Linked DNA regions of Schizosaccharomyces pombe. The protein of the gene in region 3 purifies or fractionates together with the protein of the main gene of each other region. This does not show direct contact. Each region holds a gene or a part of one and is shown on either strand. Other genes may lie near its edges. The genes, in order: usp102, sap14 and prp11.

Region 1 (3,753 bases), on a different chromosome or scaffold from region 3:
TAGAAAGTTCTTTGCTTCATAACAGTACAATTCATAGTAAGAAAACTCTTTGTATTACTCCTTAGTGCTAACTTTCTTTCTTACCAAATAGGAACGCTGCCTCTTTCGGTGTTTCGAGAAATAGTAGAGGATATGGTGAAACAAAACCTAGCAGAATGGACTGAAAAGCGAAATCCTAAAGACGTGTTTTGGGTATACTGGAGGTCTATATCTGAATGGGGGAATATGATCTTGAAATGGGTAAGCCATTTTCTGCATAGTCGAAAGTACTAATTGTTTTACAGCTATCCGATATGGGACGAGAAGGGTCTATATGTACATTTTACGAACTTCAAGAACAATATAAAGAGGTAGATTGTTTAGACGAAGTACTCCTCCATAAAGTTCTTGAGCTACTAATGAAAAAAGGAAATATCGAATTAATGAAAGGATCGTCTGGAAAATATAGCGGGTTCAAGGTACTGAAAGCTTAACATAATTACATGCTTGATATACATAATTTTGGGCCTGCAAAATTGCATTATATAATTTATATACACAAATGATCAATTATGAAAATGATAGGAGCTTTATATATTTCGAAAGGTGACTTTTGGATGATTATTGCAACAAAAATTTGAAAGAGGGAATTAAAATAGTTGCAGAATCAACTACGAGGCCTTCCGAGCGAATGTTACCTTTATTTGATTTCCACTGAGGGACATACCTGTTGTCCCATTTTTTGCGACCGTTGCTTCTCTATCAGAATCGTATTCAACAAATGCAATTCCTCTTCTACCGGGAACCATACGTACTTCTTGAAATCCAGAAAACGCTTCGAAAATTTGTGTAAGGACGTCTGCGTTTACTTCTTGAGGGATATTTTGTAACAGAAGTACCTTATTAGGAGGCAACAAATCTTCATTAATTGTCGATTTACGCTCAGCTCCAACATTACGTTTAGGAACCGGCTTTTTATGAGTGGGTTTGGGAGCTGCGGGTTGAAGAGCGCTAGTCCGTTTAAGCATTTCTATAATATAAGGTTAGTAAAGTGAGGTCTTTGATTTTAGAATAAAAAAGATTATACCTCTCCTATTTTTCCTATCTTTTTTCCTAGTTTCTATTTCTTCAGGAGATTCTCTTTGTACGATAATATCGCTTTTAGATTTACTGTACTGTATCATCATGGGCTTTCCATACAAAGGGTATCCTTGTAAATCCTTTAACGCTCGTGACGCGTTCTCCAAGTTGTCGAATACTACAAATGCTTGACCGCGCATTCGCAAAGTCTTTCTTGCTTGAACATCTATGACTTTACCATAAGACCCAAAGAGATGTTCTAAAATTCGTTTCAACACTACGATTGTTAGAAATTAAATTAAATTAAAACAATTTAAATTAGTGGCATACTAGTAAGACGAATTTTTTCTTCAATGTTGCGTATGTAGAGAGTCTCTGACGGTGTTTGAGAGTCTGTCTCTTTAGGAGATGGTTGTTGAACCTCTTGATGCGAATTTGTTTGAGGATCCATTGGATGTTAAATATAAAAAGATATTCACAGTGAATTTCGGCACTAATGTTATGATGAATCAAAAAACACGAGTATTTAAAAATTGGAAGACAATCCAGCTTATGGCATTAAATTCCAGCTAATTACCAAAAGAAGTAGTCTTTCAGGTACCACCTTGTTTTAGTAAATATGGCTCGTAATGGTTGACTTTACATTCAATTTCAAAATGTAAATTATAGCCAGCATTAATATTTCGTTGGATGTATTCTAAAAGCGCTTGTTTTCAAAATACAGTACTCTAATGTACCAAATATCAAATGGAGAGAAACACTCCTTATCCAAGTTAAAGATCGCGAAAGGAAGAACTTCAATAAATGGACGTAGTTTTAACACGATAACGCATCGCTATGTTTGACCATGTTGTTGCTCATTAATCTTGTTTTCAGTTGCAGAAAAAGTTACGAATGCTTGAATAGTGAATACGATAATCTGTACAATAATTCAGTTTGCCTTGTATTTTGTTACAATATGGTACAAATCCTTATATAATTTACGAGATACCTAGGTAAAAGAACCGAGTTTATGCGTTAATGATTTACCGTGCAGACAAATTTTGAACGCGCAAACAAAAGAATAAAAATTTTATAAACAACAATTGATTTAGTTACTGAAAGAGAGCGTTTACCCAAAGTAAAGAAAATGATATAAATATTGTTATTTGTAAACTGTGGATAATATGGGAATCGATGGTGTACTGGACGCGCAAATAACGAATTTTACGAGCCGTCCTATTAAGAAATACAACAGCCGAGAACAGAAGAGCAGTCACAAACCATTTTTTATTCCACAATATTAGATTGTATTAACACAAATAAAATTTTTTTTTCAAGGCATTCTCTACAATATCGAAGACATTCAACGTATAAAGGTTAGTCTTGATTCAAATACTTACCCTTGTAATTTCAATTTAATGTTAGACAAAGTTATTGCCCCAACGTCTCTGGAAAACGCGGATGCAAATTGTGGAGGAGGCAGAACTGGAAAAAGTATCAGCCAATCATCAACATGTCTGAAAAAAAATTCCAAGATATTTCTAAGCCTAGCTCGTAAAAACGGGTGACAAGACATGTATGGCGCTATCGAAGTACGAAAATAGAAAATTGCCAGACGATATTAGAGTAAAAGACACAAAAAGAATTTCATTTATTCACCCTATTATAATTTTTCAGCTTTCATCAATGTATGCGTACTAACTAAAAAAATTATCGGTGGTCATTTAAAAACAACAAAACCATCCAGCATTCATCACATGTCTTTCATCCAATCAAATGTAGTTATAGCTATTATCGTCCAATAGATTGCAGAGGCGGGATCAAAATCCCCTTAGGCAAAATTGGTAGGCTTCTCCACAGTTTTTCTCAGACTTGGGAAGAATGGAGCGGGGTAGGGAAATATAGCAAGACCCTGTCTTACAATGATTGGGCAAAAGCTTCACATATATGGGAGCAATATATGTACAATAGGCGCTTTTCACGGACATAGCAAACCTTGTTAGTAATGAGTTGGGCGTATTTAAGGAGGTCCCAAGGCCTCAAAAGTCGTTTACCAAGTTCATAACTTTTTAGGGACTACGTTAGTTAGCGATGAATTAGTGATGATTTAGTGTGCAGCGTTTACATTTTCTTAACACAGACAATTGCAGTACGGGTTACAGCTCCATATTTCTTCTATAGTCCGAATGAAGTATGGGCGTACACGTAATCAAGGGATAGAAGTATCCTTTTACACCGAACTGTTCAAGAGCGAATATATCGCTTGAGAATTCTGTTTTTTTTTGAAAAGGTTCATTGTCCATCCATATTTACCTTCTTGTTAGGGAGTCTCGCTAGGATGGTTGGTGTCGCGGTCGATGTATGGTCTCCAGGTTGGGGGCCCCTAGCTATCCTGACTTGGATAGGACAGAGATAAGATACACGTTGCGTGACGTTTTCTTAAAAAAAAAGAGCACGGCTATGCTCTATTCATGTTACTAGTTAATACTAGAGGAACTCCGCATTTAGGTTAGTTCCGTTATGGACTCGAATATGTGGAGCTCGAGAATGCAAGCAATCGAAATTTGAAGGATTATGGTTCCGTAACGTTAATTGTTCTATTGCCAGCTTTGAGATAGTCATGCAGCGATGAGAGTATGCTGTGTTTTAAACTTTGATATTTGCTGGTTCCAATACGTATGGCCACCATTGGTATTATTTTTTCGCCTTGCG
Region 2 (3,109 bases), on a different chromosome or scaffold from region 3:
CTTAGTTATGGTGCGGAGGTATGGCATTTTAATGTTGAGCAACGTTCAGTCGTTCGTCGTTGGCAAGTTCAAGATGGTGTATCTACCACTCATTTTTGTTTGGACCCATCTAATAAGTATTTGGCAATTGGTAGCAAGAGTGGTATTGTTAATATATATGACCTCCAGACATCCAATGCGGACGCTGCACCAAAACCTGTCACTACATTGGATAATATTACTTTCAGCATAAATAGTATGAGCTTTTCTCAAGATAGTCAAGTTTTAGCTATCGCATCTCGAGGAAAGAAGGATACTCTACGACTCGTTCATGTTCCCAGCTTTAGTGTGTTCCGTAATTGGCCCACCAGCGCTACGCCTTTAGGCAGAGTTACATGCCTAGCTTTTGGTAAGGGTGGTGAGTTATGTGTTGGTAATGAAGCTGGAAGGGTTGGACTTTGGAAACTAGCTCATTATGATTTGAAGTTTGTGCCAGATAAAATTATTAATTGGGAAATACGGTTGGGCAAATTTGGATACGTTTTATTAGGGATTCAAATCTTAATACTACATGTAGACGTTGTTATATTATAGATCAATGCATTACATTATTATTACTAAAAAGCTTTAAGCGAAATATAATAAAATTCAAGTCCTTATAGTACCTTTTTTATACCTAGGTTCGAAACACTAGTAAACGATTGTTTAATATGAGCCGATTCATTTTTCTGCTGTATGTTCTCTTCAACAGAATTTATAGAAAGAGGAAATCTATTACACGTTAATGGAGTCAATATCAGACTCCTAATTTGTTTGTTTTTTTTTGGTAAATAAATAGTAAACGTTCACTGAACACCGTATTTTTGCTTAACTTGTTCCAAGGCGGCATACCTTGCTGCCAAATCTTGACCATCAACCTTAGCTCTTTCAGGGTTATAATAATGCACTAAAAAAAAAGTTAACAAGAAGATATTAAAAAGCCGTTAGAAAGGAGAAATTAAAATTAATAGTAGCTAATACATTCCCTAAGATAACGTACCAACCAAGTATCTATCCATGAAGTTGTAGCCAGAAAGCTTTTCGCAAGCTCGACGAGCGTCTTGAACGTTTTCATAAACCACAAATGCAGTACCTCTTGTTTGAACCGTATTCCCCAGCCTTATTTGTCGTACAGGACCATACCTACCAAAAAGATCGTACATCTCTTCTGCTGTAATTTTAAAAGACAAGTTCTTGATGAATAGGATAGAATTGACTTCTTGATTAACTGTAGATGGAGGCATTTGTTATTTTTACGATCTTAACACTTTTTGTTAAAAAAATCAAATTTCGAAAAGAAATGATTTGGTTTGCTTTGGAAAGGATAAATATTCCTAAAAGGTTGGTTGGGATCAGATGGAAAATACTCGTTATCACAGCTTGGAGATTGATGTTGTATAGTCAATCCTATACGTGAGTTTAATTATAGTAGAAAAGATTGAGACATGAATATTAAAGGTTACGTTTCGTGGTTTGGACAAGAAGAGGTATATGCTGGGAAATCGAATGGACCAACAGATCGTAGACAAAACGGTTCAACCTTTTACCAAAATTTTCCTCTTCTTTTACCTGGTAACTCCAAATGTCAAATGCAATCCTTAGTTCATGAGATCTTTGATCAGAGTTGAAACTGACATGGCGGTGATTTCAATAGAGAGTCAATTTAAAGTGATTTTCAAATTATACATAACTAGTTGAAAATCATAAACATTTTTATTGGTATTTTTTGCTTCCTCGTTTGTCTATCCTACAGGAAATAGGTTTCAACTTTAAAACTGACAATTGCAAAGAATAGTTTGATAGTATAGTTGTATCATCAATTTATATTTTTCCTTATTTCTTTACTTTCTTTTAACTTATACTCTTGTTTGGCAATGGGACTTTTATCAAGGAAACAATTTGGTATCATTGATCTTTTGCCTACAGACCAACTAGTTCATCAATTTCTTCTCAAGTTCTTTTGAAATTTCTTAAATTTTTTATTTCCTGATCCCAGAAAACTACATCTGCAAAATTAATGATTCATTTTACGCTTCCAATGCCATGCTTTCGTATATAAGTGATAGCAACAGAGACACTAAAGGGAAAGGATAGCTTTGTTGAATATGTGGATCTTACTGTACTTCATTTTATCTAATTTGAAAGATTTCTCATTGCTCTTTGCTTACAACTGCTCTTAATTGAGAATGTGCTGCATTGCAAATGCTGTTTTGAAGCAATTTAGGAAATTACAGAAAAAAGAAACTATAGTAGCGTTTACAATTTCGAAAACTATACTAATAATTTTAACTAATGAAGCTAGCTATATTCATTATGATAAGCAGGAACTAAGTATTTAAAAAAGTAAATAATGTTGTACAAAAACGAAATAAACCAACTAACGTTAAAGTACGAAATTAATTGACTCATCTATAACCGTTCTTTATTTTTTTTATTTTTTCAATGAATAAAGCTATTGGCATTGATTGCTAATCTGGTTTGATATATGATATACATATTTTTCTTTTTGAAGTATTGAACAATTCTTTTTACGCTTCTAGTAGATTAATTACCATTTACTCTTTTTTTAAAAAAAATAAATAAATAAATAAATAAATAAAATTTTGTATATTCAAGTGGTTTCTGCTCATTAGCCTAATTCGCAAATAACTCTAGTTTAACATAAAATTTAACTTGACGAAATGCGAAAAATGTCTTGTACGACAAAATTTCAAGAGTTAGGATTGAGAGAAGAATTAAAAAACAATAGAACAATAAAACTATTGCACGTAACCCCTAAAACTTGTTGAAATTGGCAATGTTGATTAAATACCTATATCTGAATTAATTTACGAGAGAAAAAAACCTAAACGAAAGATTAATAAAAGCGCATATTTAAGGAAAAATTTTTCTATGAATAATTTCTCTTTTCATCCATTAATCGCCTTCTTGACCCATTTCTTCTCTTGTATTTACATTTTCATCTTAAGTAACACGTCACCTACATCAAGCATCCAGGTAGTCATCGTGGCAAGCATGAATTTGCTCTTTCCCCATATTCGCTACTGAGGTGTGCAGCCCTTCCGCGGCGTCATTGGAACTTCCACTGGGC
Region 3 (5,891 bases):
TAGGTCAGCGCACCTATTAAATAATTAACAAATGTAAAAACAGGATTAAAAAGGCAAAAAAGAAAGAAAAGAAGGAGCCTACAGCACCCCGGATTCCCATGTTGTCTCCAACCATAGTACTAACGAGGCCCTCAGACGCTTAACTGCAGTGATCGGACGGGAACTGGTGTTTTCGCCTAGGTATGGCCGTAGACAATCTACGTTTACTTTAATGCCCTTTATAATAAAAAAGAAAATAGTAAAAAAAATAAATTTTTGCATTCATTTAATACAATGTACATCGAAATTGTAATTATATAACTTGATGCAGTGTTAGTACAATATAGTTCGCATACAGTTAGTTTGTTTAGGTCTTATGCAAATAGTCGGAGAAAAATTAAATAATTGAAGGTTTTTACTTCTACGCTAAAAAATTCTGATTTTTATAATTTTAACTTCTTTTAAACCCATCAATCATGAAATCAAGCATTCACTGACAGAACCTTTTTCTCAAATAAACAACTATGGGATTGATTGCCTACTATTTGTGTTTAGCACTGATAATTGAAGGCCAAAAATTACATTTTATTTCTTCTCTTCACAAAAGATTAAATTCAACCATTAGTTTATTGTTTACTATAAATACTGTGGATTACAAAAAGCAAATACCCTAACACTATTTCAGGAAAGCAGTTGGAAAAGTACTCGCTTTAAAAATGTGAATAAAATCATTCTTTCCCGCTTTTACTTTGCGATGAAAAAAGATACATGCCTTAATTTTCATGCCAAAATCCATATATGTTTAGTTAAAATAATAAATATTGACATTTCTAATCATTAATTTTTCATAACCACTTTTGCCCTTCCCCAAAAAAGCACGTAACGTATTCAATTGATTAATTTTAAACGAGTGTAGGTCTCTTTTTCAAAAGGATAGACCGAAAGTACTAGACAACTGTGTATCGTCCAGAAGCACTTGGTTTGTTACCTCCTTCCAAACTGTGGTTAATTCCTTCAAGAAGAAGCCGTCTCAATTCAGTGATGGCTCGGTTAACAACAAGCTCAGATGGACCTTCAATCCACAAGTACAACTTTTCCTCTCCTGGTTCAGGGTTTTTACCTGGCAAGTAGAAATTACCCTTAGTAGTGATACTTGTGCCAGTTAACTCCGTTACATGTACAATATTTGTGTTATTAGTAACGGCCCAACGAGCTTGTTGAGGATAGTCATTAATTTCCATTTTAGCTTTATACTCATCACCATCGGTTTTTATTATAGAAATTGGCTGAGTAAGCTTGTTAGATTGTGCAGTTTGGTTGGCAAATGCACGAGCAGCAATTCCACCCACAGCAGCACGAACTCTATCGAGCGTGGGATCACCGGTAGATTTTTCAGGAGTAATCTTTTCCAACGGGCTTTTTGCTTCAGCTTCAGTCTCTACATCTTCCTCGTCCTCACCATAGGCCTTACGCTGCATTTTACGCTCAGCATTTCGAGTTTCATCCAGTCGTGATAACCCTTTGCCGCCAAAACCTCCACCCGCTGCTTTCTCTTTACCAGCCTTAACTTTCTCGAGGAATTGGGAAGCAAGAGTTTGTAGTTCTTTTGGAACTGGTTGTTTACTCATCTTTAAAGCCTTGGCAATGTCTACGGCGTACTTTTCCTGTTCTGGGGTTATAAAGGTAACAGCTACACCAGTATGGCCAGCACGGCCTGTACGACCAACACGATGCACGTAATCCTCCATATGATTAGGGCAATCATAATTTACCACCAGCTGTAAAGATTTAACGTCAAGCCCACGAGCAACTACACTAGTTGCGATTAATACATCAAATACTCCTGCTTTATAATCACTGATGGTTGAGTCGCGATCGTGTTGATCCTTACCGCCATGAATTGAATTACTTGTATACCCGCGTTTCATAAGGTCCGACAAAAGTGCATCCGCAGACTCTTGTCTATCCACAAAAACAAGTGTACGTACATCAAGTTGATTGTTGTACAACTCACCTAACAGCTCTAATAGCCGAGAAAACTTGCTTTCCTCAGGCCGTACTTCAACGATTTGCTCAACCTCAGAAGCAACAACCGACCGTCCGCCAACCGTAATCTCTACAGGTTTCTTTAAAACTTTCCTTGCAAGGGCTTCCATAGCACGAGGAAAGGTAGCTGAAAATAGTACGGTTTGCCGATCAGGTCGAATATTGTTAATAATTCTCATGACTTGCGGTTCAAATCCTAAATCAAACATACGATCGGCCTCATCCAAAACCAAATAAGTGCAGCGGTGTAAGTTAGTAACACGTCCTGCATTCGCACTTAAAACATCAATCATACGTCCAGGAGTACAAACTACGATTTCTGCACCGCGTTTTAAATCAGCAATTTGGTCTTTAATAGGGGCACCTCCATATGCACAACACGCACGAATGTTCAATAACTTTAAGAAAGGTTTACATTCGCGAAAAATTTGCACAGCCAATTCACGAGTAGGAGTCATTATTATTGCAATAGGACCCTCTCCTGTTTTTAATGGGCGCTGATCTTTGATGTGTCGAAACATAGGAAGAAGAAAAGCAATGGTTTTTCCACTTCCTGTTTTAGCTACGCCAATTACATCTCTGCCAGAAGTAATCGCTGGAATTGCTTGTGCTTGAATAGAGGTTGGTTTTTCGTATCCCAAGGAATTGATCACGCTTATGGTTTGGGCAGATAAACCACATTGACTCCAACTAGTAACTGGCTTCGGGCAATCAATACCACGAATTTTAATACCATCTAAAGAAGCCCGTAGTTCATCAACTTCAGCTGGTGACAGATTTTTGAGCTCTTCAGGTTCAACATAGAAATCCTTTTTGAAATCTTCATAATTTATTTTTGAGTGATCAACTGTGATTACGTCTTTCTTTTTTGATCGTTTTGCAGCAAGAGCAAGTAAATTTTCTTCCTCTTCCAAAGTCTCTGAAATTACCATGCGCTCGTCATCGTTTGCATTCGGATCAATGACCTCCGTATTTAATAAACCAGGCCTTATGGTATCAGTGGTACCAACCAAAGAGGCCATGTAAGCATCTAAAGGATCTACTTCGTCTTCCTCCATGCTAGCTGCTTGCTCATTTCCTAGCATACCCCGGTCTTCTTGGTCCCAAAGCTCCTGGTAGTCTTCAAGATTCATACGCCTAGGACCATCTTCATCATCCATGTGAACTCGGTTATTTCGCTTCATATCCGAAGTATCTTTTTGGCGATTAATCTCAAACCCGGATATACCAGTTGAAGGCATAGCATTCTGGTCTTTGGCTGTAACCTGCGGCTTTGTATTCAACTTGTGCTCCTCCTTCTTGGAAGCCTCCTGTTTTGCCTTTGACTCTTTCCACGCTCTAACTCGTTCTAGCCTGGCGAGTAGCTTAGCATCCGTAATTTTGTCTGACGCTACTGGCTTTTCAGCATTTCGTTGATGATTATTTTCAACAGCTTTATCCTTGGGAATTACATCAACTCGTGGATTTTCAGATTGAATTTCTGAAACACTTAAAGAAGCACCAACTCTCTCAGTTCGATCAAATCGAGAACGTCTAGGCTGAGGCTTTATTTCAGTTGCGGAACCTTGTAATACAGGATTTGTTTCATCTGATTTAGTTTTATTGTCTACTTCTTTTTCCTCAGCATGTCTATGAGATGTTGGTCGCGGTGACCTACCAATATACTGATCGGGAATATTCTTTGATCTCGCATACTCTCGATCTCGCTCTTGATACCTTTTTTCGTAACTATACTTATCATGCTTCCAAGAATTATCTCTTCTAATTTTATTAGACTCGTGAGAACGAAAAGAATCATGCCTATCTCGTCGACTTGATACATCGTCTACGTATCGGTTATACCGTGCACCCTTTTGATCTTCAGAGTCATCATATTTTCGGTAATCTCTTCTTTCTCTATTGTAGGATCGCCTTGGAGGCGACCTTGATCGTGTTCTTCTAGACATCAAAAACTGGGTGTTGTGATATGTACACGAAGAGTTTTAATGAGGCAAGTAAACGACATAAATTACTTTATATAGCAATATATATTATGCATATGATATTAGTTCACTACTAGATATAATTTACATTATTATAGTTAACCTCTTTATGATTATTTATACAAGTCATATGGGGTTTATTAAAAAGCAATGAATTTGCCAGTTAAGTCGGTAAAGCAACCTGAATTCTGTGCAATTTATAAATCTTAGAAGTAATATTCATTTTTTATTTCAGTTATTTAAAATTTAATTATGGTTCCCTACACTGGACCTTCAACTTAACCAGTAAAACTCGGAAAAATAATCAACACTGGTATATAAGTAATTTTTTCAACACCGCTTACATTTTGATTGTTGCTGAATTTTTATTGCTTTTGTACTAAAGATAATATCGGAAAACCGAGAAATAAAAGACGATAAAAAATTTTATTGATTGGCGAATAGGCGAGTTAGCTCTTTTTATTTACAATATTTCTTTTTTTATGTAAATAACTATTGGGGTTAAGGCTTGGAATCCACAATTCTTGATTACTAGTAAGGTACTCTTTCAAATGTCTGTTAAACAGTCATCTACAATAGAATGTAATAAGTCAGATAATTTAGAGCGTACATAAATTAAGAAAAGCCATTATTTCCATTCCAAAAAAGAAAAAAAAAAAAGCATAATTGAAATTTACATAATGTTATACTTTTTCTATAATGTTTATGTTTTTGCGCTCTTCGACCAATAATATTGACTTAGCAGAAAACCAAAAAACGAAAATTCTTTAGTAATGCCAAATGAAAGAGAAAATTATTTATGTGTATATTTATTTTTATTTTTTTTAAGTGTATTTTTTCGCCATTTACTCGATTTAACAGTGATAGTATTAATAGCTGGCATTATTTTTCTGGTATTGCTTTATAATTTGATATACTTAATACTGGGATAATTGTTTTTAGGATGAGCAATGGTTATACGCATGTAATGAAGTTAGAAACCGACAGCAAATAAATCTTACATTTTGAAAGAAAATTTAAAAAATATGGTTGTCCAAATACAAGCGATGGGATACCCCAACGTGAATACATGGAAAGATTGAATGTAGAGTATCTAATTAAGGAGAATTAAGCTAAGGCATGAACTATGCCCGAAACTGAGCAATGGTTAAAGAGTATATTAAGTAATTTATTTTACCCAATATATTGAAACTAGTTTAACCTCTAGTTGGTATGTATAGTTGGTTGCTCATTTTTACTGATTGCTGTATTCCATTCACTCTTTCATCTTTAGGTTAAATATTTGTATTTGGTTCTCCTTGGATACTTTTATCAGTTGGTAATCATTTTTAAATTCATTGTCTTATATAGGATTTTTGTTTTGTACAGATTCTTCCTTTCATCATCCTTGAGAGTCTCTTAACTTCACGATCCGCCTAAATTCCTAAGAAGGAGTCTATCTCATGCTACTGTTTTTTATTTAACACATTTGTGAACGGAAATAGAAATAGAGTTGATTATTCCATCCAAATTGGAAAATTTTCGCATCAAAGTATTTAACAGCTTTCAGAAATCAAAATTGCAAATTGGAAAATCTCTACGAATAACACCACCATTAAATATGGAAACAAAGGTTCATTTGCCTCTTGCTTACCAGCAGCAGGTTTTTAACGAACTTATTGAAGAGGATGGTCTGTGTGTAATTGCACCAGGTTTGTCATTGCTACAAATTGCAGCAAATGTACTCTCATATTTTGCAGTTCCAGGATCCCTTCTTTTGCTTGTTGGAGCAAACGTTGATGACATTGAATTGATTCAACATGAAATGGAAAGCCACTTGGAAAAAAAATTGATTACTGTAAATACAGAAACTATGTCGGTTGACAAACGGTAAGCTTTGGTAAC

The links.
Region 1: the proteins of prp11 (region 3) and usp102 purify together in Schizosaccharomyces pombe (affinity purification with mass spectrometry, with the first as the bait; one study listed by BioGRID). This does not show direct contact.
Region 2: the proteins of prp11 (region 3) and sap14 purify together in Schizosaccharomyces pombe (affinity purification with mass spectrometry, with the first as the bait; one study listed by BioGRID). This does not show direct contact.

The regions. Positions count from the first base shown.
Region 1 is NC_003423.3:3,422,722-3,426,474, forward strand, and holds usp102 (U1 snRNP-associated protein Usp102), read right to left. Parts: upstream 1,759-3,753; 5' UTR 1,511-1,758; coding exon 1,390-1,510; exon of another isoform or gene 1,337-1,389; coding exon 1,067-1,336; exon of another isoform or gene 1,010-1,066; coding exon 651-1,009; 3' UTR 501-650; downstream 1-500. Other genes in the region: ESCRT II complex subunit Vps25, read left to right, coding at 1-36, 92-240, 285-473. UniProt on the Schizosaccharomyces pombe protein: Involved in nuclear mRNA splicing.
Region 2 is NC_003423.3:2,049,434-2,052,542, forward strand, and holds sap14 (Pre-mRNA branch site p14-like protein), read right to left. Parts: upstream 1,336-3,109; 5' UTR 1,263-1,335; coding exon 1,019-1,262; exon of another isoform or gene 926-1,018; coding exon 825-925; 3' UTR 564-824; downstream 1-563.
Region 3 is NC_003421.2:517,620-523,510, reverse strand, and holds prp11 (ATP-dependent RNA helicase Prp11), read right to left. Parts: upstream 4,000-5,891; 5' UTR 3,972-3,999; coding exon 927-3,971; 3' UTR 614-926; downstream 1-613. Other genes in the region: rad16 (DNA repair endonuclease XPF), read left to right, coding at 5,608-5,876. UniProt on the Schizosaccharomyces pombe protein: ATP-dependent RNA helicase involved in pre-spliceosome/complex A assembly and mRNA splicing. Bridges U1 and U2 snRNPs during pre-spliceosome assembly and enables stable U2 snRNP association with intron RNA.